Mus musculus: one gene and its partner. The protein of the gene in region 1 purifies or fractionates together with the protein of each later gene. This does not show direct contact. Links are inferred from orthologs where the notes say so. Each region holds a gene or a part of one and is shown in the gene's direction. Other genes may lie near its edges.

Region 1 (3,814 bases):
TAATCTTGAAGTGGTAATATACCTCTCTCTTTTTTTTTTTTTTTTTCGTTTTTTAATTCTTTAATTGCCATAAGGTCACTTCTTTCCAAAGTCAACAAATGGAATACTCTTCATCTTTTCCCCAGTTAAGTGTTCATCTAGAAGGCTTATGTGGACGTACACAGGTGTCATTGCTCTGTCTGTACTTTGATGTGTCTTTTTAGGATTCCTCCAGCCTGGTAGCACTTACCCCTTATAAGCAGTGACAGACATTGCACAGATAGATGTCACTAAATCCTATGAGTAAGTTTGGTGGCACACAGGGTAGTCTGATCTCTCTCTGCCTTGGCTCTGGAGAAAGGGCCATGCATTTATCTTGGCATCCTGAACTCCCTCAATTGTCCGTTTTATAGTGGGTCCCACACAGTCACTAGGTTCTTGTTCACCCTGCAGCTGGCTAAGGCTCAGCAGCCTCCTGCCTAGGTTATTTGGCTGGTCTCATCTTGTTTTCTTTTGAGACTATACAGCTTCACACTTCTCATGGGCAAAGATGGAGGCCTACTATGGACTAAGTTTCTTTGATATGCTTGTTGCTACTTCACTTAGATTTAAAAACAAGCCAAGACTCACTTATCACGAAGCTTGGATTTTGTTTAATAATCCATAGTTCTGAGAATCCAGTAACTTTGCTGACATTCAAAATTTTTCACTTTGCTTTCAATCTGTCATCTTCGTGATAAGGGCAGCAGCACCTGTCCTCTGTGCCCGTTCTGCAGGGCTGTCTGCAGCAGGTGCTCCACTGGGGGACAGTCTCCAGCCATTCGTCTTGTTAGTCTTTGCTTTCTTACGGTTGGAAGGAAGGAAGGAAGGAAGGAAGGAAGGAAGGAAGGAAGGAAGGAAGGAAGGAAGGAAGATCTCCTTCTCTTGGGTACGTCTATGGTAGCAACTGAGGAAGGCAGATGCTCAGAGGAAGGCTAGCCCATTAGCACGGGCACAGCTGCTGTCACAGGGACACAGCCTAGAGCCACACAACTCCAATCTGCCTCTGATTTTCAAGGACTAGACAGCTCAGTAGTGGCCATAAGTCTACCAGCTCTTACTGTGTCCTAAAAGCAGTGAGGTGTTTCGGACTGGTCCACAGCTGGACATTTGGAGGTCTCTCCCTTCCTCGGTATCATCATATCCTCGGTCAATCCCAGTATTGTCTGATGAATTTTTCAATGACAAGAACTTCCTTCCTTGGGGAAGAGGTGCTAGAACACCTCTACACACCTTAGTCATGTCCCTAAGGGGCTGGGGCACCACCGCTTCATATCTGAATCATCTCCCTGGGGATTACTGTAGGCTCTGTGGGTTGTGTGGAACTTGGACAGACCTATTGGGAAAGGAACCGAAGATGAACTAAGATCAGTCAGGGCTCTACTAGAGACTGAAGCTGGAAAGCTAGAAATTCAGTCTTGGGAGAACAGTCTTGCAGAGGACTTGGCAGTCAGTGGGTGCCTCCCTTGGACACAAACTGGCCTGCAGTCCTCTGGCCAGTCGGCCTAACAGGCAAGTCCACAAGCCCCGAGGAAGCAGGATGTCTGTGCCTGCAGGCAGTCTGTTCTAGGAGAAAGCATGCGATGCCTTGTGATCTCCTTTAATCTCTCTATTTTCTGTTTGTAGAAAGTCCATGAGATGCTGAAGAAGGGGTGGGATGCTGAAGGCTCTCCCTTCCGAGGCCAGCGATTCGACCCAGCCATGTTCAACATCTCCCCAGGGGCTGTGCAGTTTTAATGACCGGAAGTAAAGGAAACCCTCGCCATTGGGGAGATGGAGACGTTGTCCTCCTCACTCCCTGCATGCCAGGGACTCACTTCTCCTGATCAGTCCTAGCCATTTTTTTCTTTCATGATGAACCAGGCCTTCCATGCTGACCTTCTACCTTCAGACTATTCTAGAGAAGGTACAGGGCCAGCTGCTGCTTGGCAGTGTCTGTGGCCAACACTGAATGCAGGTGTTTGACATGCAGGAGGGACATGTCCCAGCCTACTGGTAGCACATGTTCTGTCTCCACAGCAACCAGGCACTGCAGGCAGCATTTCCTTTCTCCCCGTTCTCTCTGCTTGCTGTTGTTTTGACGCTATTCTGCTTGCTTGTCTTCTGATTGGGGATAAGGAGTGGCTGGGCTCAGACAAAGCTAAGTTGTTGTGTGGAGCCAGGCACCTGCATGAGGGCCAGCGGGGCATGGCTGTGGGGCTGCTATGGGGTTCCCTCACTTGTTGTTGATCTGTGTCTATCTCTGTGTGTGTGTGTGTGTGTGTGTGTGCCATCTTGCTCATTTCTTTGTGAATACACTTGACTTGCCTCAGTTTTATGGGCAGAGCAGCAGGAACTGGGTCTGTTTGAGATGGTAGGAGAAAGTCTGAGGTTCTGGCCTCTCACCCAGGTGTGGTAAGGATTCTGTCTGCCCTCTGACTGCAGCTGCCTTGCTTTGATTCTTGTTGAAATGAGCTGAGACTAGCCACCACTACTTTTTCCCCTCAAGACCTCCTCTTTGGGGGTGCTGCATTCAAGCCTGGGTACCTCCAAGAAGAGATCACAGCCTGTTGGTAGTTCATTGGCAGATCCGTGTCAACTACACTCCCTAAGGAGCTTTGACCCTGAAGCATGCCTCAGGAAGGAAAACGTATGCACTAGCTTGAAGGCAACTACAATTGAGTCCAAGAAAATGAAGATTTCTCTGTGCCAATCACTAGACTGCTTTTTGGAGCTCAGAGCCTGTGTGGCGACGCCAGCTAAGGGTGTGAAGACCTGCCCAGAGGACCAGGACCCTGGTGTCCCATCCCTTTACGTACTCTCTCTGTGCTGGTTGGTGCCTGGCATCTCCATTTGCCTGGTTCTTAGTTGTGTGGTGTGTGTGTGTGTGTGTTCACGTCACAGCACTAATTTCTATACTCTGGTAACCAACCATACAAAGTGCAAGAATTAAGACCCATTGAAGCCAAGGCAGACTGTTCTCTGGAAAGAGCCCTGCACCACCGAGTGCTATGTCCACTTGCTTGGAAGGAGCCATTGGAAGAGCAAATTTTGGAACTTACACAATTGTGTAGAAAGGAGCTGGTTCATTGTAGGCATTTAAGGGATTTCTGGTTTACTTCCTAAAAGTCCATACTGGGAGTTAATCTGTGGGCCTGAGTAGACCATGATGGTGGTCAAGGGACAGCAGTGGACCCCATATACCCACTCCAGAGTCTGAACATGTGATTGGACATTGGTCATCAAGTTGATGAAATCTCCCTCAAGAGGTCACCGTCCAGGAGCAGAATCTGTCGTAGTCACAAGATCCCCAGGACACTTTGCTGTTTGTTCCTGAAGTTTTCATCAAGGTCTAGGCTGCGCACATCCCTGTCCCATGGAAGCTGTCTCACCTAAAGAAGGAAGTCTCGTGGTGTGTGTGCACCTGCAGTCTTCTCCCTCTCGGCCCTCATCCTGTGGGTAGTCTTGCAGAAGGAATGATGTCGTGGCGGAACCCTGCATCCTTTTATTTAAGACAATGCTTTTCTCTGTGTTGACTCATCTTCATTACTGTAGCATGGTTTTATTTTCTGTGTTGCATTTTTTTCTTTGTCCCTGCCGTGTTTCAACAAACAAGCCTGTATAGAAAAAGCAGCCTGGGGGATATAGCACTGGTTGTAGGCCGTGGGGCAGGAAGCTGTGACTGATCCCTGGGGCATGTTGTAGTACATGGTGTAGTGGTGGCTTCTGTATCTACATGTCTCCATCACAGTGAGGCTCAATCCCAGCCAGCCAAGTAGATAGTTCTTTGCCCTGAGGCACTGCCCTGGTTTGCCCC
Region 2 (4,414 bases), on another chromosome or scaffold:
CCGATGTCTTGAAGTTTGCTCTGGCACCTTCTCAGGAAGTGATCTTGTTCTTTCTTTCCCTACAGGTAGAAATTAATCTCTCGGAAGTGCCTCTTCACAGCCAGGTGACATGTCAGAGCCACTCAGGAAAGGCTTACCCCAACTCCTGAACCAAGCAGCCTCCCAGAACTTAGCTCCTGGGAAGAACTTCTCAAGACCATTCTCATTTCAACAAAGCTCTGGTATAACAGGGCACCTGGGGGGGGGGGGGGGAAGGAACGACGACCACAGGTTGTTCTACTAGTTTGGGGAAAAGAATGTTGTTCTACTAGTTTCCCGGGATTGCTGCAATTGGCCGGAAACCACCGGGAGAAGAAGGAAGGAGAAATAAAGGAAGATTAATCACCTATAGTTAAGTAAATTACATACATTTTTTTGGGGTCATCAACAGGTTGTAAGTAAGCTCTCTATATACCAATTTTGGAAAATCTTGAACTGGAAAAAAAAAATCCAGTAGGATACATGCCATTTAGAAAAGAGCCAGGAAGTGGAGCATAAGAATGTAAGTATATTCTTAGTCTGCATACAAGTAAACGCTAGAAGGATTTGGAACTTCGAGAACAGAGAACTACGGCAAATTATATACTTATTCTCAAATCAAAGTTAAAATTTGCCAGTAGCTAGAGAACTGCATGTTAATAAAAAATACTTATAAAAGCAAAGTTCAACACAAGGGAAACGCAAAGGGTAACTATTTTGGAAACATTGACTTGAATATTCTACCAAATATTATCATTATCCAAATCAGGATAACGTTTTGTGTTCAAATCATCTGCGCTTATTACAGAGTCCATAAGATAATGGAGGACATTTGTACACTGATGAAAACAGTGGACAAAGTAAACTATAACATGCTCAACTACTGGAAAACTGTAGCCAGTTAAAAATAGTGTTTGGAAAACAAAACCCTGAAAACCGTATTTATGAAGGCATTATCTCTCCTGCCAAATATTAAAAAAATGTATCATTAGGACCAAAATTTAGTGGCAAGTTAAATCTCATGTGTCTTAAATGTTAAACAAACAAACAAAAAACCTTTTACAATCAACATTTTTAATTGAGTGTGACGCAAACTGTAAAACTGTTCTTGAAGAAAATAAATAAATAAAACGATACAATGATTTCTTCTGCCAGGCTTCTTGTGTTTGAACAAAGGTTGCCTTTCGTTGCTGCTCTGGCAAAGACCTTAAGCGTAAATCTTGAAAAGAACGCGCTCTTGAAAAGCAAGCTTAAGCACACGCACGCGCATTCCTACAAGCTTACATAATGGACCCTGCACCGGCCTCGCTGGCCGGCCGGAACCCCGCCCCCAGTCCCGCCCGCGCCCTGCCCCCATCCACCGCCCCCTTGCCAGCTCAGCCGCGCAAGCGCACTAGCTGTGCAGCCGCTCCTAGCCCGGGGGATCCTGGGATTCTGCCTTTCCGGAAGGTCGGGCTGGCTCTCGGTGCTAGGCCGCCGTTCTAGGCCCAAGTCGGGATTCCAGGCCCTGCTCCAAGCCAAGTCCGTAGCCGCGACGACACAGCGGGGATCGCAGAGGACGCGGCCGCAGCTCGTTGGGGTGGCTGAGCCTTGGAGGGCGGCAGCCGGGGTGCGCAGGCCGTGACGGCCCCTCCCCCGCCCTGAGCGCAGCGGCGAAGGACGACAGCCCGGGACCGGAGGAGGTGAAGCGGTCACGTAACTGCCCCGGGTGATGACTCACCCGCTCTCCTGGCAGATTTGAGGTGCGTGCTGCTGTTGCTGCAGGGCGGACGTCGGTGTGCCCAGAGCGGTGCTGCGGCGACCGCTTGCTTGCCCTTGGTTCGGCGGCCCCGGGGTTTCCCGAGAGCGTTCTCTTTGTAACGTCTGCGGCCTGCAGCTCGCAGCGAGCTCCGGCTTCTCCCATGAAGGTGTCTCTGGGTAACGGCGACATGGGCGTCTCTGCCCACCTGCAGCCTTGCAAGTCTGGAACTACGCGGTTTTTTACCAGCAACACGCACAGTTCGGTTGTATTGCAAGGCTTTGATCAGCTCAGAATAGAGGGCCTACTTTGTGACGTGACGCTGGTACCTGGCGATGGAGAGGAAATCTTCCCGGTTCATAGAGCCATGATGGCGTCTGCCAGTGATTATTTCAAGGCCATGTTCACTGGAGGAATGAAAGAGAAAGATTTGATGTGCATCAAGCTTCATGGGGTGAACAAAGTTGGTCTGAAGAAAATCATTGATTTTATTTATACTGCAAAACTGTCTCTTAATATGGACAATCTTCAGGACACTCTTGAAGCTGCCAGCTTTCTACAGATCTTGCCGGTTTTGGATTTTTGTAAAGTATTTCTTATATCAGGCGTCTCTTTGGATAACTGTGTGGAGGTTGGCCGGATTGCTAACACCTACAATCTTATAGAAGTGGATAAATACGTAAATAATTTCATCCTGAAGAACTTTCCTGCCTTGTTGAATACTGGGGAGTTTCTGAAACTCCCCTTTGAACGGCTTGCCTTTGTGCTTTCCAGCAATAGTCTCAAGCACTGTTCGGAACTTGAGCTCTTCAAGGCAGCCTGCCGCTGGCTGAGGCTGGAAGACCCTCGGATGGACTATGCCGCAAAATTAATGAAGAATATTCGCTTTCCACTGATGACACCACAGGATCTCATCAACTATGTGCAGACAGTAGATTTCATGAGAACAGACAATACCTGTGTGAATTTACTTTTGGAAGCAAGCAATTACCAAATGATGCCGTATATGCAGCCGGTGATGCAGTCGGACAGAACTGCCATTCGATCTGATTCTACTCATTTGGTTACCTTAGGAGGAGTTTTGAGACAACAGCTAGTTGTCAGTAAAGAGTTACGAATGTACGACGAAAGGGCGCAGGAGTGGAAGTCGTTAGCGCCCATGGATGCTCCTCGATACCAGCATGGCATTGCTGTTATTGGAAATTTCCTTTATGTAGTTGGTGGCCAGAGTAATTATGATACAAAAGGAAAAACGGCTGTTGATACAGTTTTCAGATTTGATCCTCGTTATAATAAGTGGATGCAGGTGGCATCATTAAACGAAAAGCGCACATTCTTTCACCTGAGTGCCCTCAAAGGACATTTATATGCAGTTGGTGGGCGCAGTGCAGCTGGTGAACTGGCCACAGTAGAATGTTACAACCCAAGAATGAATGAATGGAGCTACGTTGCAAAGATGAGTGAACCCCACTATGGCCATGCTGGAACAGTATATGGGGGTTTAATGTATATTTCCGGAGGAATCACTCATGACACTTTCCAAAATGAGCTCATGTGTTTTGACCCAGATACAGACAAATGGACACAGAAGGCTCCTATGACTACAGTCCGAGGTCTGCATTGCATGTGTACAGTTGGAGACAAGCTGTATGTCATCGGTGGCAACCACTTCAGAGGAACAAGTGATTATGATGATGTCCTAAGCTGCGAATACTATTCGCCAACTCTTGACCAGTGGACACCAATTGCTGCTATGCTGAGAGGTCAGAGTGATGTTGGAGTTGCAGTCTTTGAAAACAAAATCTATGTTGTTGGTGGATATTCTTGGAATAACCGGTGCATGGTAGAAATTGTCCAGAAATATGACCCAGAAAAAGACGAGTGGCATAAAGTTTTTGATCTTCCTGAGTCGCTGGGTGGCATTCGGGCTTGCACTCTCACAGTTTTTCCACCTGAAGAAAACCCTGGGTCACCTTCTAGAGAATCACCTCTTTCAGCACCTTCAGATCATTCTTAGATCCAAGGTGTAATACCTTTTCAGTGTATCATGGGTGGTCTTGTTCATCCCCTTGTATTGTTTCTCCTTATTGCTACAGTTAATAGACAAAAAGGTAACTTAGACCCTTTTTTTTTTTTGGTTTGGCTTGATATTGTTTAGTAAATGGCTATACAAGTGCATTTTGAAAAGTATTAAATATATTCAGCTGTTTTAACAAGTAAAAAAGATACATAGAAAATTAGATTTTTTTTTGTGGTGTTACATGTGTCAAATTATAGATGATCTTAGTAAATGTGTAATTATGTCTGTTATACTAAAAATTAAAACATTTGATTTGACTGAAACATTAAATGGAGGTCCCCTGTTCTAACCTAATATAAAGATTGCCAAGGTACAGCTACCTCCCTCTTGGATAGTTTTGGACAATCTGTTGTCTAGGCTGTGTGATTAGTCTTAGAATATTTGAAGTTTCCTAGGTAGACAGAAATAGTAACAATATTAACTAGAAGAAACAGGTCAGGATTTGTTCTCTCACTGGAGAAAAAATAATAGGTGTGTACACTAGTCAGATATTCATGCTCACTCAAAAATTTGTGTACACACATAAACTTTTAGACTTGATAGAAACTTCAACTGTTGTGAAAATGACCTTATATTTT

The links.
Region 2: the proteins of Nudcd3 (region 1) and Klhl9 purify together in Homo sapiens (co-immunoprecipitation; 3 studies listed by BioGRID and IntAct, with this or other methods). This does not show direct contact. The link is inferred for Mus musculus from reciprocal best matches to the Homo sapiens genes NUDCD3 and KLHL9.

What each region holds. Positions count from the first base shown.
Region 1 is NC_000077.6:6,106,186-6,109,999, reverse strand, and holds part of Nudcd3 (nudC domain-containing protein 3), read left to right. Parts: intron 1-1,644; coding exon 1,645-1,755; 3' UTR 1,756-3,814.
Region 2 is NC_000070.6:88,719,508-88,723,921, reverse strand, and holds the start of Klhl9 (kelch-like protein 9), read left to right. Parts: upstream 1-1,413; 5' UTR 1,414-1,919; coding exon 1,920-3,773; 3' UTR 3,774-4,414.